Linked DNA regions of Caenorhabditis elegans. The protein of the gene in region 3 purifies or fractionates together with the protein of the main gene of each other region. This does not show direct contact. Each region holds a gene or a part of one and is shown on either strand. Other genes may lie near its edges. The genes, in order: T22C1.8, fbxa-143, T04H1.5 and xpo-1.

Region 1 (5,317 bases), on a different chromosome or scaffold from region 3:
ATGGAGTTAGAATCCGATCTTCTAAAAGTATTTGTTTAAATTTCGAGAAATACTCGTTGTTTTCTAATTTTAATTATGTTTGCTGTTGTGAATCTCAAATATTATAAACAAGTTTCAATTCCAGAATTTCTCAACAGTTCGCCGCCATGATTTGTCTGATAAGTACAGTATCCGATGTAACCAAATGACAGGAGTTTGGCTATCAGACGAAAATTCCGAGATTAGTTATGTGCCTATCGTCCGATGCTTGTGAACAAGGTTTTCTCTGGAATTTGGGAAGAGTTTAGCCATTTCTTCAATGTGATCTGGGATATCTTGAAGACTAACTTCGGATTCCTAAAGTTTATCGTTGGCTATGAATAATTTTGTTCGAAATAAATATGTTTCATCATCTGATAATGGAAAATTAAACTGAATGCAGTACGATTTTTCAGAATTTTAGATTCATATTTCGATTGTTATTTTGAACAGGAAGAACTCACGGCATTCATTTATTTAATCGGCTGTATGATTTTATTGAAAAATTCAAATATCGTGTGAAAATCAAGAAAAAAAGTAGTAAGTTGAGGATATAAATTGCAGTTTAAAATTTGAAATTTTCCTGGTAATTGGCTCAGAAGGTGTTTAAAATAAGTAGAATGGCATTTGTGAACAGTTTCATTCATAAATAAAGATGCTCTACAGTTCTATAAGTCTACAAGTTTGGAGCATTCAACATTTGCTATTCTTTGGTGAAGGTGAAGAGAGTTTGCTACTTTTTGAAGTTGAAGAAAGACTTGCCCAGCTGTAAAAATATTTCATTAAAAGTTTCCAATTGTTGGCAGCAATATTTTCTTATTTTCTTTGTGCTCATCAAAGCTTTTTCTACGATAAGCGGCTCAGGTGCCGCTCCAAACCACGCAGGCAACGCCTACAACCACGCTCAAGACTGCCAGCTTCTGCGTGGTCTAGACGCGTTGCCTGCGTGGTTTGATTTATCTGAGGTACCTTCAAAATTCAACGATTAAAAAAAACCTTTTTAAATCCACTCGGCTCGTGTTCCTCTTCAGAATTATGTTCCATCTGAACAACATGAGAATCTCGTCCTCCATCGTTTCGATCTTTATTATCATCCTTTTGATCACCATGAACATCTTCCTTCTTATGATCATCATGTCCTACATCTTTTTCAGATTTCTTGGATTTTGTAGACTTCATCGACTTTTTCGATCTGATACTTTTGAAGCTCTTGGCCAACGATTCAGCTTCACCCAATGCACCTAATTTTTTACAAGTCTTTTCTGATTTTTGAGCCATTTTGGGATCCGGTTTCTCTTCTCCATCTTTTGTCACAACGGTACGCGCTTCAAACGATGGATGGTTACATTCTTTACCCTCTGAAAAACATCCAGTTCTAAAATTCCAACATACACATTTTGATTGTTTCTTATGGGGTTATTCAAGTAGTGTCGGAAAATTAAAAAGTGTAGAAAAATTACGTCACAACTGTATTCAAGTATATAAAAACGTGTATTTAAATACATTTGTGAGGTCACAAATGTATTTAAATACATTTTGCTACATTACTTAAATAACCCCATTAGAGATCTTTTGCAAAAAATATCAAAGCACCACCTAAACCAGAGCTAGGATTCTGAGAGCAAAGAAAATCTTATCTGAGCAAAAGCCTGACAGGAAAAGTTCCACAGAATATTAGAATATTCTAATATTACTTTTCAATCTCCACATAGCACACATAAACCAAACAGCACAGCTCAGAGTACAGAAGACAAATCCAACAGAAATTACAATCCAAAACCACTGAAAAATTTCAAAAGATTAGAAGTTTTTAAAAATGAACTTACCATTGGATAATAATGATGATCGTATATATCAATTGTGACATTATTACCGAGAGTCAAAACTCTTTTAGTGATAAGTGAAGACGAAGTATTTGCCGGTTTTACCATCTCTCACTTTTGAAAAGTCAGGAATAAATTTGATTGTTCGAAGTCGTAGTAGATTTGTAAATAAGATTGTTTAAGTTCGTTGGCAGAAATAAAAGTTCACGCATTTCAGAAATGTGAAATTTAGAAAATGTTATTTTCGTAAAAACGTAAAATACAATTACAACAACATATATGTATATATTTTTTTAATTTGAACTTCCACGTCCCCCCCCCCCTCCTTATTTGAAAGTTGTCAATATCAGAGATTAGTCGAAAGTTGAATTATTTCTACATTTGTCTTCGTCAGCTTCGAACGAAGAAATCAAAATAAAACCGACGCTTCTCGAAAAAAACGAATCGTTCCGAGATAGTGTAATCCATCAATCAACGGATCAGTGAACTGAAATAAAATGCAACGAAGAAAGGGAACACGTGGAAATTCGCAGGATGATCAACAGGCATCTCGACGCCTTGCGAAAAAGCCATCTGACGAAAAAGTTGATGAAAAGGATAAAAAGAAAGGAGGAGTACTGAAAAGATTGGGATTTCGTGAGTTTAATCATACAGTATTATTTAGAAAAATCTGAATTCTTTCAGTTCTTCACAATGAGAAAAAGGAAGAGGTTGGAAGCACCCAGAAAAGGAGAAAACCAAAAAGAGGAACCGAACGGAAACGAGCATGTTCTCATCCGGTCTGGAATCCTGACAAGAAGATCCACTTCAATAACGAAAAAACGCATGCCATAATCCCGGTAAATACTTTTGGACTTTTTGGACGTTAATTATATTATTATACATTCCCGTATACATCGGGAAGGGTGCAGGTAGACTGAGAGACCTCGTCCGGGTGGAAAGTACAATAAAAAGAGAAAGCACTTCTCAATCCGAATTTATGATTTTCAGTTAAAAGGCGATCCACTGTCGGATGTACAGAAGAAGGTTTTCTTCAAGTTTGCAAGTGATGCTGTCAAGAAGAATCCTCCAGAGTACTCAGTCGAATTCATGACAAAAGTGAAACCATATCCTGGTCAGCCAATGGAACGGAAAATCTTTGACGCGAACCCAACAAAGAATCGCTATAAAGGTATGAAATATAGGAACTTGAATCGAATTAAAATTAATATTTCAGATGTTGTTTGCAATGACATAACACGCGTGATTCTCAGTGATGGTGGTGATGGAGATTATATCCATGCAAACTATGTAAATGGTTTGAACGCTCCGTTCATTTTGACACAAGGCGCCACTGCAGCAACTGTCATTGATTTCTGGAGAATGGTTGTTCACACGAAGACTGCCTACATTGTGATGCTATGTGAGGTGATGGAAGACGGAAAGGCTAAATGTGCCCAATACTATCCGGAAAAAGCTGGAGAAGCAATGACTTTCGGAGCATGGACCATTCTGTGTTCATTGGAGGATGATAAGGATGCGAATATCATCAAAAGAACATTATCAGTTAGAAATGTGGACAATGGGAAGGAACATATTTTGAAGCATTTGCATACAAAGTCATGGTAAGCCACTGATCTTTACAGAACAACATTCGGTTTAGTGTCATTGAAAAACCAAAATCAGAAAACTCAAACTGAAAATCTTTATAATAATAGAATTACTTTCAGGCCTGACCGTTGTGTCCCTAACTCTACGATGGCTTTGCTCCGAATGCTCTACATTGTGCGCACAGCTTCCGGCCCAGTCACTGTTCACTGCTCCGCCGGAATTGGCCGAACAGGCACTTTTGTTGCGATTGAAGCATGTCTTCAAATACTGACGGATGGGAAAGAACTGGATTTGCTGGGAACTTGTAGAGCCTTGAGAAGTAAGTTAATATTGAAATGATGATTTTTATTAATCACGTTTTTTAAGACAGCCGAGCCGGAAGTATTCAAGTTGACATTCAATACATGGCACTTGTGCAGATTCTGATCAACTACGGAAAGGATAATGGCTACTGGGATGACTCGGATTTAGATGATGTGAGTGTGACTTCAGTGGAAAGCAAGGTTTATGTATTATATTTCAGAGAGTTGAGCTTCTCACTTGGAACATCCAGCAGTTCATCCAGACACGTGGAAAAGTGGATCACGTACCAACAACACCATCCACACCAGCACTCAACATCATTCCAGCTGATGCCAAGCCTGTTCCAGTTGTTCCAAAAGAAGCTACTCCACATCATTCTCCAGCAGAAAAAGCACAAGAATGCATGGAAAAGATTTGCGAAAAGATTCTGAAACCTATCAAAAAGGACAAAGAATGCAAAGAGCACAAATCTCCGAAGACTGAACATCCAAAAGAATGCAAAGATCATCCACTTCCACTCGAAACAAGATCTTCTTCGGAAGATGGACCTGATATGGAAGACCAAAAAACTCAGGCGACGCAAAAAGTTGAGATCAAAGAGGAAACTGCTGCCCAGAATGACAATATCAGCATGATCTCTCTTCCAAATGAACCACTTCTGTCGATTCCCGTTGTGAGAAAGAACAGTAAAGATGGTAACAAGGACAGTTGCGATACGAAAGAGAGCAAGGAAACAAAGGGACACGAGAAGAAGAACTCCAAGGAAGGCAATTTCAAGCTGGTGAAAAAGGTATAAAGTTCGAATGTTTGTAGTCGTAACTAATTTATTTTCAGCAATCTGCCAACCGTAGTCAATACTTCCTGTAATGTTCTGCCATTACCAGCCCGCTCTTGTGATCTACTATCGAGTTCCCAAAATTTTTTTCCTTGAATGAATGGTTACTTGTATTTTTTGAGTTTTCACATTTGATTCATCTTTGCGACCAAAAAATTAGACATCCGGTAACCTTTGTCCGAGTGGAACAGCACATATTCACCTCATTCTCGTAGTTAGCTCCGTCACCTTCAGTCTTATTCTCCTCTTCGATCGAAAATCGCTGATCTTCTTTGAACAACGATACGATTGTCGGAGAGCGGTCTAGAACACCTTCAGCTTCATTCTTCTAAATACTTTCAAACTATTTTCAGTCAGACATTTGTAAAAGTTCAATACTTTATTTTAACTTTTCAAATAACCAACTCCATGATATATTATTATATTTGTTTTTTTTTCTTCAGTAATCACAGTACAGGGATACAGTTATCAACATGATTTGCTTCAAGAAACCGCAAAACCTGAGGTTTTGGAGGGCTCTGTGCATCCAACAAAAAGAAAAAAAAAAGAAAGACTGCCCTTTTTAGAAAAATTTGAAAAAAGCCTGAAAACAAACTGTGAATTTTAAAATTATCAGAAAATTGGAAAAAACGTATATTTTTTTAAATGAGATCGTCGCTTAGCTTTGTCTGAGGGTCGTCATGCTCGAAGGATCGGCGAATCTGGAAAAATCACATGCCCTACGGTGTTCAATTTTAGATATCGGGAA
Region 2 (4,796 bases), 3.9 Mb from region 3:
GATGTTTTGTTGCTCGAGGTACAAGCTACTCAATACCAACGGAGCATTTATTCAAAAAATTGACTTATTTTGAAATTCAAGTAGCGGTTTTTTCAAAACAAGATGCCGTAAATATCAAGAAAGTGAGTAGCTCGCGACCTGCGGCCTATACAATATCTAGTGAAAAATTTTATATGATCTTTTTGAAAATTGGTTTAAAATAGTCATTTCTACGTTATGACTGTAAATTAAAAAAATGTGTTGTAATTTGAAAAAAAGTGGCCTCTCGAAGTTGAGCAATTTTTTACCATAAAAAAATATTTTCAGATGCTCTCCAACTCTCCCAACCTGCAAAGCTGTTGCTTTCATTTTTCCCGATCTGGAATTACAGACCTTGCGACCGTATTTCATCCTGGTCACGTCGGTGGTGAATATGCTAATTTGATTTATAAAACTTATAATAACATCAAGTTCGTTATCAATATTTGTACAAAATGCTTCAAAATCACGAGGAAATAAATGTTTTATTTTCAACAAACATTCAATCTTTCACAACAAAAAACGATACGCAGAGAATGATGCAGTGCAATTTTCAAAACGGAATTTGATTTTTGTTTTAATTTTTCCGTATTTTTACATTTTTAATCAATGAATAAAAATGAGAGTTTTAGCTTTTTGCAACCCCTACTAACTGATAAGAAGAAACGCAGAAAAGCAAACAGTGAAGTGAGTTTTTGATTTTTTTTTTTTGCTTCATTTTGAAATTTTGAACAACTATAAATGATCGAAACGCCGCAAGTTAATAAATTTTTACTTAAGTTATAGTTAATTGTTTCAGAACCACTACTAGCGCACCAAGACTTTTCACAATACCGATTGAAGTTTTTGAGAAAATTTTAGATAAGCTGGAGCCCATTGACCTGTAAGGATTTTTTCAGATTATTCTTTTTGCTGACTAAACATTTTGCAGTCTTATTTTTCGAAAAGTTTCAAAAAACCTGCGAAGATTCCTGGAAAACAGAAATTTCGGCATAAAAGAGATTCAAATCACAATTTTAACATACTGGGCCTGCTTACGCCTAGACCAAAACCAAATCGAATATAAAAATGAAAAGGATAGTTGTATCACTACTTTCCGATACCGGAAGATTGAAGTCAAAGAAGGAAACTATATGGAAATGGCTTTGAACGATTTTTCTCAATTGATGAAAAATCCCAAGCTGAAATTGAATCGATTTCGCGTGTACCTTTTCACGAAATTCGAGCCGGAATTACGTGACAAATGCTTGAAGTCTTTAATGCAAATTTTCAGTTCTGCAAAAGTTTTGAGAGTTAAACAGTCGGTGTTTGAAAATTTGAGCTCATCTGAAATTGGTAAGCTTTTGCCATACTTGGCGGCATGAACACTTAGAGAAATACGATTATTCAACCGAAATACGACATGCAATTTGGAGCAGTTAACTGATTTGGATCAATGGAAAAAGGCAAAAACTTTGGTCGCCAATGTTGGAAATTATGTGTTGCCTTTGAAAAATCTATTCAATTTTAAAAGGTTCAAAATAAAACTGGTCTCGTTTTCGATAGAAGATGCTATCACAGTCAAAAATGTGAGTTTAGAGACTAGATATAAAATAGCAGTATTTTTCAGCTTCTGGAACAGTCTATCGCCTTAAAATCTGTACATTTGGAATTCCCACCGTGTGAATTTTTAGAAACAGCCAAAATCTTCAATCCGAACTTTGCCGGAGGAGATCAATTTTCTATAAATGTTGTGGTAACATCTGGAAATTTTTAAATTCTTCATGGCTCAAAATATCTCAAAATTAAACGAGTTTCTAATGATTGATATGAACGTTTTTTTTTGTATTTTTCCAATTAAATAATTATGTGAATGTCTTTGTCAAATTCTTGTTTTTATTGTAAAAAAGATGTTTTATTTGAATAATATAAAATTTAATGAATTTGTCAGTTAATTGATTACACATTTATTTGGAGGTGAAAAATGGAAACGCGATCTATTGATACATTCTCATGGTGCCATGGAATTTCTACAATTTTTATTTTTTGGAGTTGTCAGTCCGAGAAATTATTAGCATTTATTTTTGTATCGTTTTTAAGCTTTATTTATGGAATATTGCTAAATTTTGGGGAAAATTCGAAACTAGAAAAAATAAAAAATAGAACAAATAATTTTCAAGCATAAAATACCTTGTTTCTTTGGTGCCAAACTGTGTTTTCTGCAAACAAATCGCCCTTCCCATGACACACAAAACACAGCTGGGTACAAAATACGTATTTGGCGTCTGCGTCATCTTCTTTCTCTCTTTCGGACTAACGTGCACAGAAAATCTTACTCTATCGATTCCAGTTTGCCAATTCTTTGCCCAATGTCTTCTAGTTTTTCCTGCTTTTCAAAAATATAAGAATTTCAGAATGGCTGAAACTCTACAAAACAATAAAGTAGCCCTGCGAGCATGTATTTTGTACGAAGTCCTCAGCAGGCAGCCAATTTACAATTGCTACACAAATTTTTGCAATAGAATTGGAGATGACGTCATTGGTTATAGGGAGTTCGAATTTTGGTTCTATCGGTTTTACCAAGGGAATCATGAGTTAGATTCGGAAAGAAGGTAGGTCGAAATTTTGTGAAATAGAACTTAAGACTAAAAAACTTTTAGCCTGCATGTGGCTCTATCAATTTTGGATCTGCCGGAAAAGTTGCTACATAAAATTGTGGACAAATTGAAGAATAAAAATCGGTTAGTTTTAGTTTAGGGTTTTGTTTGCCATTGTATTTTTGTATTATCATCTAATATTTGAAATCTCCTATTTTAAATAGGTTACCACACTAATTTAAGCGTCAGGTTTGGTCAAAAGTTGTCAGATATTTTATTTCATTATTTTCAAAAAATATGACCTTCCGATTTTGTTTCAGAATGTACAAAATGTACTAAACATTCTGAAAATTATTTAAACTTTGCAAACGAGAAAAATGTTTATCACTTTGGGGTTTTGGTATTTTGAGCTAATAAAAATGAGCATTTTGCGATGAAATATATATGTATGGTTTTCATAAATTTTAGTTTTCTGTAACTTTGTCAATAACCAGGACTATGCAATTGCCGCGCACCCTAAACTTACAGCTTTCTTGAAAATCATTTCAAAATCTTCTATTTTCAGATTAATTGTGCGAAAAGTGTCTCGAAAAATGAGAGAAGTTATTGACACTCACAACCCTGGCTTCAAAACTCTAGGATTTTTTGTGAAAAAGAATTACACATCATTGCTCGTGGATAACATGGAAATCAAATATAGCAGCGTGGGACGTGATTGTGTCCTGAAGTATGGACAGAAGACAAAAACAATTATTGGTGCAAAATCTGTTGATGTGGCTTTCAATGACTTTGGAATTATCATGAAGAATCCGGCACTTCGCTTGGAAAAATTTCCGATTCAGCTTTCTGTTGATGTTGAGCAAACTGGGACTTATTTTTCAACTCTTCTTGATGTTTTGAAATCCTCCATGTCTTGCCTACACGTTAAAAAGTTTCATGGGACAGATTTCTCCGAGGAGCAGCTTCTATTAGTGATCCCTTTCCTAAAAGCTGGATATCTTGAAAAAATTGAGCTGCTTTCCAATGAGCCCACAGATCTCGAGAAAATCGCTAAACTTGAGCAATGGAAAAGAGCACAAGTTTTTGATTCGTTCTGGAAGAGTTATAAGGTTTCTGTCGAGGATATGCTCCATTTCAGAGAGTTCTATGTAATTGTACCTTGCTTTTCAAAAGAGGATGCAGTAAAACTGAGAGATGTAAGTTTAAATAAAAAATCGAAAAAAAATCCAAGTATTATTTTCAGTTGCTCACAAAATCAGTGGACTTCGAGAACGGGTGCTTCAAGTTCCCCGAAACCAACATTATCGAAATAGTGAGAGTTTTCATTCTGGACTACGAAGGAGAAGAACGGGCCAAAATTGATTATAACGAGAATGGCACAGATTTTATCTTGGACTTTAGCACAGAACACTTTCGATTGACAAAAAAGAAGATTGTGGACAGTGACTGAAATTAAATTTTAAAAAATATGATTTTTTTTAAAAGTTTTTGTATTGAATAAATTTGAGACAGACCGACGGCTCGAATTTCAGGTCAAAAGTAGAATTTTGCAGTTTGCATAATTTCAGTTTTTGATCACCCCATTCAGTAGGGAGCCATAAAAAATGGAATGATGATTAATATGCTCTTCTGAAAAATTAGACTTGTGTAAACACAGTGACGGATAACGACGTACGATTCGATAAAAAGGAATAGCTGCGGGAAATGGTGAGCACATGTGTAGGCTAGGAAGCAGTAGGCATTTTTTAGATGTGTTTGGTGCGGTTCAGTCAATTTTTTGCTGGGCTTTTGTGCTTCACATTGAGAGCGTTTTGATATTTTTGACTAGAAACTGAATGTGAGAAAATACTTGTTTCCGAGTATACTAGATGCTATACATAGGTTTTACAGTTTTATATCTTTATTGCATTTAACTGAAAATGACCAAAATCTGAAAAGTACGTAATTGGAAAATGTATGTCAAATTTCAGAATTTAATTAAATATACAACTGAATCGAAATCTGAATATTCTGAAATTTTCAATGAAGATCTCAGTTTTTTTTCCACCATCTTTTGCGCTAGGTTAGCTTAAAGACATTTTTCGTTTAAAATGAAAAAGTATTTAAATGAAAAATGACATATATTACGAAAATTTCCGCTTTCAGAAAATGTGATATCATATATTTCCAGCGGACAATTTCCGCATTTCTATGACTCAACAA
Region 3 (3,895 bases):
AAATGTTTCCAGTAAAGAAGAAGAGAAGAAAAAAGCTGAAATGGAAGTGCAGATGATGAAAAAGGAGTTGGATCAAAAAATTTTCCATCGGAAATCGCTGTTTAAAAAAGTCCAGGAAGGCGGTCTGTGCGAAAGACAACTCATGGATAAGGAAAATAATATTGCGTTAGTAATTTTTAAACTACTATAGTATTTTGTATCAAAATATATTTTCAGAACTCTGAATGCCAGCTTAGAAGAAAATCAGCAACGCCAAAAACGTTTCGAAGAAGATCTCCGTTCGTTCGATAGTTCACATCAACGCGAGTCAATTCTAAAAGATCAACTTACTCGAATGATTATCGAAAATAAGATAAAAGAGTTGAAAAGAACATTGGCCACATTCGATGGACAAATAAATGAAGATCGCATAACTGAACAAAAACAAGCTTATAACAAACTTCAAAATGAACTTCGCTTGATTGGAAACGAAGAAGTGAAAATATACACTCAGATGCAAGAGTACGAGAAGCAAAAAAAAATTGCGGAAGCAAAATTGTCAACGAAAGAGTGTCAGAATGCTGAATCGAATTATCGTGATGCTATCATAGAACTGGCAATTACTAAAGAATCTATCTCTGATTTAACGAAGTATAGAAATTGTCTTGATGCTTCACTCATCCAATTTCATTCTGAAAAAATGGGCAGGGTCAATGGAATCATTGATGATCTATGGAGAAAAGTATATAATTCCACGGATATTACTACAATCAGGATTAGGTATTTTTTCACTACTATTCTACAATTGTTTACCGGTATAATGTTTCTTTTCCAGATCAGATGCTACTTCTGAGACTTCTTCAAAGAAAGTCGCATACGAATACAATGTTATGATGGTTCATGAAACTGGCACCGAAGTTGAGATGCGTGGACGCTGCAGTGCTGGTCAAAAAATGCTTGCTTCGTTGCTTATTCGCATTGCACTCGCAGAAGTATTCGGTGGTTCATGCTCGATGATTGCGTTGGATGAACCAACAACAAATTTGGATGAGAGCAAAGTGGAAGGAATGGCTATCGTTTTGGCAGATATAATTGCTGAAAGACGCGGATTCGATGAAAATGGAAAGTTGAGAGGAAGAGATATGCAGGTATGGGATAATGAGCTATCAAAACTAATAATCAAACTTATAGATGGTAGTAATCACTCACGATGAGCGACTCGTCAACAGGATCACAATCAGTTGTCGTCCAGAGTATATTTATTGTTTGGGGAAGGACGAGCACGGAATAAGTTTCCTTTCGAAACGTTATCCAGATGGAACAGTGAAAAGAGTTAATACGAAGAGACGGTTCTAGAATGGTATTGAAGAATCTCAATAGTACAAATAATATTTTACGGTCTCAAAATTGATTCGCTCACCTTTTAATTATGTTTTATGCTTTGTCAGATCATTCCCGAGTTTCCAAATGTTGTTACCTCATGTTTTATATTTTACGAGATGAACCCGATGCATCGGCCGATGTGAAATGAAAAATATTTTCTAACTGTTTCAATATTCTAATGCGTTTTTTGCTACGCTTTTGTTTCTTTCTTCTTGTTAAAAGCTAACCTTATTCATAAAAAATTTCGATTCAAGATCAGAATGTCTGACGATGAGGATGACTACATGTCTGCTGAAATTCTCCAAGGAGTTAGTGAACAACCAGTTGGAATTGCAAAATCTAGAGCTCACAAGCGAGAACTACAAATAAATTCAAGATTTGAAGAGTCCAGAGACACGTTTAAACCAAAAAGGCCAACTAGTCATGCTGAGCGAGGTTTGTAAATCGTAGTATATTATTTTTGTAGTTTACCAAATAAATTTCAGAAAAAGAACGTCGCGACGAGGCGCTCGCAAAACCGATTAGCCACGAATCGAAAGGATTTGCATTGATGGCAAAAATGGGATTCAAACCTGGTATGACATTGGGAAAGCAAAGAGAAGACGAAATTCGAATTACGGAACCAATTGGTGTCGATATCAAGGCTAATAGGAAGGGACTTGGGCACGAGGTTGAAGCAGTTCAAGAACGCAATGAACGAGTTGAGGCTGTAATGCAAAAAATGAAAGAACAAGCGGCAAAGCATGAAGAGCTGATCGATGACTATTCCAAACGGCGGAAGCTTGATGCCAACTCAAAGCAATTAGTCAAAGACATCAGATCTTGTCGAAAGGTGTGCGAAGAGTTGGATCATCGAATTGGAAAAAAAGTTCCCAGTGTTTCGTGGTTTTGGAGAAGTTATAAAGTTGCTCAAGAGGAAACTACATCTTACCATAAAAAAGTTGAAAAAGAAGATGAAGAATATAAGTACTCAAATGGTTTAGCAGCTCCAGAAGATCCGAATTATGATTTCACAATGTCAACGGAAATTTTAGAAGAAGCGTAAGTTTTTGTTTTGTAGATAAGGTTTCAATGAGCGTTATTTATCCAAACCGACAATAGTATTAAATATGCGTTTATTTCAGACTTTCCACTATCAACAATTATCTTCGAGATGGTCACTTCTATTGTATTTGGTGCGGAGCCAACTTTTCCTCGCCAGAAGATATGATCGAACATTGTCCTGGGAGCACTCGTCGAGCACATCATGGAGAAGATGAATAGATTAATTATTTTCATAAAATCTCAATTCTTGATGTATATACTATGAATCCTTTTTTATAACCAAGTTCGTGTCCTAACATCGTGTCACTTTTTTTTTTTGCTTTTTTGCTTCATTATTGTCTGCTCCTGTGTTGTTTCTCAAGGTGGGAACGTATCAAGTGACAAGTGACCACTAGTCAGTCAGCTTGAAGTGGCGATCAGTTGCCGCGCACCACCAGTAGCCCCCAACAGCGCGAAAAGCTTCTTTAGCGATAGAAAAGAACACAAACAATTGAAAAAGAAGAAAGTCCAGTGCACACACGACACTTGTGCTTCTTCAGCTACAGTCTTCAGTGGGCAGCAACATCAAGTTCCACCATCTTTATCATCTGCTCATCCATTCTCTCGATCTGTTCCGGTAAATTTGATTGCCAATCATTTTGCAAATCATGGCATGGTTAACGTCCATATTTTTCATTCTTCTAGCCGTTCAACCGGTTCTTCCACAGGATCTATATGGCACAGCAACTCAGCAGGTACAGTGAACTGTTCAAAAATTTGTAGCATTTGTTCTTATTTCTCTTTCTCAAAGTTTCTAATGCTTAGGGTCTCACCACGACCAAGATATTGTTCAAATGAAGGGCTCGCCAAGGGATTTGCACCTATAAGGAGTACTGTAGTTCAAGTTCAAGTTTTTTTTTCAATTTTTCCTCGTTCGTTCCGATTTTAATGCTTTATTTCTAACTATTTGTTTCGTATTTACATATAAATCGGTATGAGCTACAAGGAAAATATTTATGTAAAATCGAAAAAATTGTGAAATGAGTCGCACTACAGTACTATTTAAAATCACCGTATTTAAAATATTTCTGTCGTATCGAGACCTAATTTTGACAAAAAATCGCACAAAAAATCATTATGGTTTTAGGCAACATAAAGATTCCAATTGGATTCACAGACGATTTAAAAACTTAATTTTGAAAAAAATCAAAACAATCGTTTTTCTTTAGTGAATTGTATAAATATTTTCCAGCAGCCTTATCCATATGTACAACCTAGTGCTTCGTCTGGTTCTGGAGGCTACGTTCCAAATCCTCAATCAAGCATTCATACTGTTCAGCAGCCATATCCAAATATTGTAAGTTATAAAGGCTTGGGCCAGGGCCGAGGATAGGTCTATATTTGTTTACATTACCAGAATATCAAGAAACAATATTTAGGATGTAGTCGAACCAGATGTGGATAGTGTAGACATTTATGAAACTGAAGAACCTCAATTTAAAGTTGTGAA
Region 4 (5,491 bases), 4.4 Mb from region 3:
ACTTTTTGAGTCCGAAATTGCAGAAGGTGTTGAAGTTGATGTGCTGGGAACTTCAGGATCTGCTGTAGTGAATGATGGAACAAGCATTTGCATTGTAGTTGTGAGTTCCATTGACAGTGTCTCCGCATCGTTTTTTATCTCGTGGTATTTTGAAGAATAGACGTTGACTGACTGGAAAGTTTTAACATTTCTTTAAATATGTGTTAAATATCCAACCTACATTCTCAATCATTTTCATTTTTCTTTCTTCCAAAATCTTTTTTCGTTTTCTTTCCGCTTCAATTTTCTTAGCTCCATTTTCATAGTCTACAAATTTTGTCTTCTTCAACGTCACCACCAAACATTTCATTCTTGCATCGTTCTTCACACACTTCTCCTTTTCCCAGCTTTTAATCACTGTTATCGCTTCGACTTTCAGCTCATTTCCATGTTTTTTCGAACCAGGGAGTGGGTTACGAATTGGGTTTGTTTCGAACATTAATTCGAGAAATTCCTAGAGAAATTTAATTTTTTAGTTTAATTTAAGCTTTCACAAAACTCACTGATGGATCATTGAGTAGATTTTCCCGAAATATTGGAAATTGTAAGAAGAAGCTATTGAACAGTTGCAGAATTAGTTTCCTATCGGGACATCCTGATCTCTTAAAATGTTTTAATTAATTAATTCTAATGTTAATCTTGAATCTTACGCTTGTAGTATCCAGCAATACTTCTATCACATTCTCGCAGCCTTCTTCGTCCTGATTTGCCACTTCTTTTTGCAAATTTTGATATGGTATTGATTCAAAGTCCAACTTTCCATCATCTGTCAGCTGAAAACTTTCGCATAATTTTGTTTTTTAGTTCCAAAACTCACTTCTCGTATGAATCGGTTCAAATTCTTCCTTATTATTGTTGTGGAGTTGTCAATTGAATCCATAAAACTGCAGTACTGAAAACAAAAACAAAAATAATGTTTTCTATCATAATCTTAAAGGCGCATGCAAAGAAAACCGTTCACAGGTCTCGAAGCGAAATAGGTGATACGGTTGTTTTTTTCAAATATTCCTCACTTTTGGTTGCCTTCTTTTCAACATTTTATTTGTTTCCCGATAAGTTTAGACGCCAATTTTTATTTCAAGGGAAATAATTTTATTTAGCGAAAATTATCAACATTTTTTCTTGCTTTGTTCTCAAGTTTGGCTTCATTTTTCTTCTGAAAATCACAAGAACGATGAAAACAACAGCGTATAAACATGAATTTAATTTCGCAATCAAATTATTTTCGAAATAATTCGTTAAGATGTACTTAAAAATTTAACAGCACATTTTATTTTTGTGAATATCTACTTTCGAAAAGTAAGTAAAATACATTTTACTCGTTGTTTCCGTTCTCACCAAACACAGAAATATCAGGTCCGCGAGTACCCAACAGCCGCGAAAGTTTTTGTCAAATGCGCTCCATCGTACTCTTTTGCGTCTGCGATGAATTCGAACAGGAAAGGCCGCGAGGAGACTTTCCCCGCGCGCGCCGGCGCGTGTCTTGTGATAAAAACTGGGATGGCCGCTGAGCATGAATCCGACGATTTCTCCCACTTCTTCCGTTTTTTGTCTCTCACACGTAAAATCTGCTTCACCGCTGTTTTTTTTCCGTTCTCATAGCAAATAATAGGTGTGTAGTGTGTCACGTGCGGCGATTTTGTTGCTTCTATTTTCATTCAATCTTTCTCATTTCGACATTTTCGACGCGCGTCTCGGCCAAAAATATTCAGAATGGTCCTTCCGTTTCTCAATTTCTTCTCCTGTCTTCATGTATCTGCAAACAAGTAAACATGCGAAAAAAAATCACATGACCCCTCCTCAATAGCTCCTACGCTTTGTTTTCAATGTTTTCCGAACGTAAAGAGAGGGCGCAAGTCATGCACATCACGTGACAAGACAAAGCGGGACGGGTGCACTCATCGAGGTGTCCTCAATCGATTTTTTACCGTTGCTTACAATAACATCGCGCGCTCTGTCCCAATTCAGCAAGGTCGCACACAATATTTTTCGCAGTGAGATTTGTTTGGCCGAACTTTTGCATTCAGCATTTCTCACTTCCTAGTCTTGAATAGATCCTTATCAATCCAGTAATTTCGAAACATTTGACTGTCAAAAGTGACGATGATGAAAGAAATATCTCTCGTCTTCTCCCATCTCCAATTTCCGTTTCTGAATTTATTTCTGTCAAACTTTAGGTCAATATTTTTTCCCTCTCTTGACATATATTTTCTACACCTTTTGGTTTGCAAATTTAAAAATAATTTTCTTATTTTCAGAACTGGGCTAGATCGATCGTCCCATCGTCAACAGTCGGTTGTGTGAGAGAGCGTGAGAGTGTGTGTGCGAGTGAAACGATATTTTGGCCTAATTTTCCAGCTTCACTGTGAGAAACACAGGATTTCTGCCCGAAAAGCGAGAGCCTGAACCCCGCCAGTTTTGTGTGTGCGTGAGTGTGTGAGACTGAACTGGAAACTACTGCCGATTTTTGCGAAATTTGATCGCTGGTAAGTTATTTTATATTTATAGTGTTGGTCAATAAATGCTATCAATTTCAGAAACCGACAATAAAAAAACATGGCTGTCTCAGCAATGGAAGTGCTCTCTGAAGCGAAGCGTCAATTCGCCCAAGGTGACCGTATCGATGTGACTCTTTTGGATCAAGTCGTCGAGATTATGAATCGAATGAGCGGAAAAGAACAGGCCGAGGCTAACCAAATCCTCATGTCGCTCAAGGAAGAACGCGATTCGTGGACCAAAGTCGATGCGATTCTTCAATATTCGCAGCTAAATGAGTCCAAGTATTTTGCACTTCAAATCCTTGAGACTGTCATCCAACACAAATGGAAGTCGTTGCCACAAGTCCAACGTGAAGGAATCAAGTCGTACATCATCACCAAAATGTTCGAATTGTCTTCTGATCAGAGTGTCATGGAACAAAGTCAACTGCTTCTTCACAAGTTGAACCTCGTTTTGGTTCAAATTGTCAAACAAGATTGGCCAAAGGCATGGCCAACATTCATCACCGATATTGTTGATTCATCGAAGAACAACGAGACCGTTTGCATCAACAATATGAATATTCTGAGCTTGTTGAGGTATTTTGAATTAGTTTTAAAATGTTTTGCTACATTTATTATATTTTTCAGCGAAGAAGTATTTGATTTCGGATCCCAAAACCTCACCCAAGCCAAGGAACAACATCTGAAACAACAATTCTGTGGACAGTTCCAAGAAGTATTCACACTGTGTGTCAGCATTCTCGAGAAATGTCCATCCAACTCTATGGTTCAAGCTACCTTGAAGACTCTTCAACGATTCCTCACCTGGATTCCAGTTGGCTACGTTTTCGAGACAAACATCACGGAATTGCTGTCTGAAAACTTCCTTTCGCTTGAAGTGTATCGTGTCATCGCTCTTCAATGTCTCACGGAAATTTCACAAATTCAAGTTGAAACCAACGATCCCAGCTACGACGAAAAGCTTGTCAAAATGTTCTGCTCTACAATGCGCCACATTAGCCAAGTTCTATCTTTGGACCTCGACCTGGCTGCTGTCTACAAAGATGCTTCCGATCAGGATCAGAAACTCATCAGTAGTCTGGCTCAATTTCTTGTCGCGTTCATCAAAGAGCACGTTCATCTGATTGAAGTAACTGATGAGCCATTAACTGAGGCTAAAATTTTAATGCGAGAATCTCACGACTATGCTATTCAACTTCTTTTGAAAATCACTTTGATCGAAGAAATGGAGGTTTTCAAAGTTTGCCTCGATTGTTGGTGCTGGTTGACTGCTGAGCTCTACCGTATATGTCCATTCATTCAGCCAAGTACTCTTTACGGAATGATGAGTCAGGTTCGTGAGCATCCACGTCGTCAACTCTACCGTGAATACCTCTCGCAACTTCGTTCAACAATGATTTCTCGAATGGCAAAGCCAGAAGAGGTGTTGATTGTGGAAAATGATCAAGGAGAAGTTGTTCGTGAAATGGTCAAAGATACTGATTCGATTGCTTTGTACCGTAACATGCGTGAAACGCTTGTCTATTTGACTCATCTTGACAACAAGGACACTGAAGTGAAGATGACTGAAAAGTTGGCATCACAAGTGAACGGAGGAGAGTTTTCGTGGAAGAATTTGAATCGTTTGTGCTGGGCTGTTGGTTCGATTTCTGGAACGATGGTTGAAGAAGACGAAAAGCGATTCCTTGTTCTTGTTATTCGTGATTTACTCGGGCTCTGTGAACAGAAACGTGGAAAGGACAATAAGGCAGTGATTGCGTCAAACATCATGTATGTTGTCGGACAGTACCCGAGATTCCTTCGAGCTCACTGGAAGTTCCTGAAGACGGTTATCAATAAGCTTTTCGAGTTCATGCACGAGACTCATGAAGGTGTACAGGACATGGCTTGTGATACATTCATCAAGATTTCCATAAAATGTAAGAGGCATTTCGTCATCGTCCAACCAGCTGAGAATAAGCCTTTCGTCGAAGAGATGCTCGAAAATTTGACTGGAATCATCTGCGATCTTTCTCATGCACAAGTTCACGTATTCTACGAGGCTGTTGGACACATCATTTCTGCGCAGATAGATGGAAATCTGCAAGAAGACCTGATCATGAAGCTTATGGATATCCCAAATCGCACATGGAACGACATCATTGCAGCAGCATCCACTAACGACAGTGTGCTCGAAGAGCCGGAGGTAATTTATTTTAAGGGGTTGGCTTTTATATTTATTCAAATTTCAGATGGTCAAATCTGTCCTGAATATACTAAAAACAAATGTGGCCGCCTGCAAATCCATTGGATCTTCGTTTGTAACCCAACTCGGAAATATCTACAGTGATCTTCTATCCCTCTACAAGTGAGAATTAAAAAAAAAAGAAGTTCTGTTAGTAAACCTAATTTTTTTAGAATTCTATCCGAGAAGGTGTCCCGAGCAGTGACAACCGCCGGCGAAGAGGCTTTGAAGAATCCATTGGTAAAGACGATGCGAGCTGTGAAGCGAGAGATTCTCATCCTTCTATCGACATTCATTTCAAAGAACGGAGATGCCAAGCTCATTCTGGACAGTATAGTTCCACCATTGTTCGATGCGGTTCTCTTCGATTACCAGAAGAATGTGCCACAGGCGAGAGAGCCGAAAGTGTTGTCTTTGCTCAGCATTCTGGTCACACAACTTGGAGTCAGTTATCTTTTGAAATTTTGAAAAAATTAAAATAAAATAAAAATAATTTAGGGCTTGAAGAAAAATTTTCAAATTCGTCTCAACTCTTAACTTTTAAATTTCGAAAATTTCTCAAAAATTATAACTTTATCAAATTATTTTTCAGTCTCTCCTCTGTCCACAAGTGCCGAGCATCCTCAGTGCGGTTTTCCAATGCAGCATTGACATGATCAACAAGGATATGGAAGCGTTCCCCGAGCATCGAACCAACTTCTTCGAGCTGGTGCTTTCTTTGGTTCAA

Evidence for each region.
Region 1: the proteins of T04H1.5 (region 3) and T22C1.8 fractionate together in Caenorhabditis elegans (co-fractionation; one large-scale study listed by BioGRID). This does not show direct contact.
Region 2: the proteins of T04H1.5 (region 3) and fbxa-143 fractionate together in Caenorhabditis elegans (co-fractionation; one large-scale study listed by BioGRID). This does not show direct contact.
Region 4: the proteins of T04H1.5 (region 3) and xpo-1 fractionate together in Caenorhabditis elegans (co-fractionation; one large-scale study listed by BioGRID). This does not show direct contact.

Annotation. Positions count from the first base shown.
Region 1 is NC_003279.8:7,955,341-7,960,657, reverse strand, and holds T22C1.8 (Protein-tyrosine phosphatase), read left to right. Parts: upstream 1-2,227; 5' UTR 2,228-2,338; coding exon 2,339-2,477; intron 2,478-2,525; coding exon 2,526-2,680; intron 2,681-2,831; coding exon 2,832-3,012; intron 3,013-3,057; coding exon 3,058-3,445; intron 3,446-3,550; coding exon 3,551-3,750; intron 3,751-3,797; coding exon 3,798-3,907; intron 3,908-3,954; coding exon 3,955-4,524; intron 4,525-4,568; coding exon 4,569-4,601; 3' UTR 4,602-4,681; downstream 4,682-5,317. Other genes in the region: T22C1.12 (C6 domain-containing protein), read left to right, coding at 125-253; T22C1.9 (uncharacterized protein), read right to left, coding at 752-784, 1,015-1,376, 1,713-1,800, 1,845-1,949.
Region 2 is NC_003283.11:16,125,111-16,129,906, reverse strand, and holds fbxa-143 (F-box domain-containing protein), read left to right. Parts: upstream 1-2,405; 5' UTR 2,406-2,412; coding exon 2,413-2,609; intron 2,610-2,657; coding exon 2,658-2,738; intron 2,739-3,159; coding exon 3,160-3,790; intron 3,791-3,837; coding exon 3,838-4,044; 3' UTR 4,045-4,113; downstream 4,114-4,796. Other genes in the region: fbxa-142 (F-box domain-containing protein), read left to right, coding at 1-122, 307-498.
Region 3 is NC_003283.11:12,249,725-12,253,619, forward strand, and holds T04H1.5 (G patch domain-containing protein 11), read left to right. Parts: upstream 1-1,616; 5' UTR 1,617-1,622; coding exon 1,623-1,797; intron 1,798-1,847; coding exon 1,848-2,403; intron 2,404-2,486; coding exon 2,487-2,625; 3' UTR 2,626-2,683; downstream 2,684-3,895. Other genes in the region: rad-50 (Zinc-hook domain-containing protein), read left to right, coding at 1-165, 217-759, 815-1,127, 1,171-1,335; lrx-1 (LRP X(cross)-hybridizing), read left to right, coding at 3,054-3,140, 3,638-3,742, 3,825-3,895.
Region 4 is NC_003283.11:7,802,767-7,808,257, forward strand, and holds the start of xpo-1 (Importin N-terminal domain-containing protein), read left to right. Parts: upstream 1-2,297; 5' UTR 2,298-2,525; intron 2,526-2,576; 5' UTR 2,577-2,595; coding exon 2,596-3,116; intron 3,117-3,167; coding exon 3,168-4,725; intron 4,726-4,771; coding exon 4,772-4,887; intron 4,888-4,937; coding exon 4,938-5,208; intron 5,209-5,356; coding exon 5,357-5,491. Other genes in the region: uvs-1 (UV-stimulated scaffold protein A homolog), read right to left, coding at 1-171, 221-493, 543-641, 690-812, 857-919.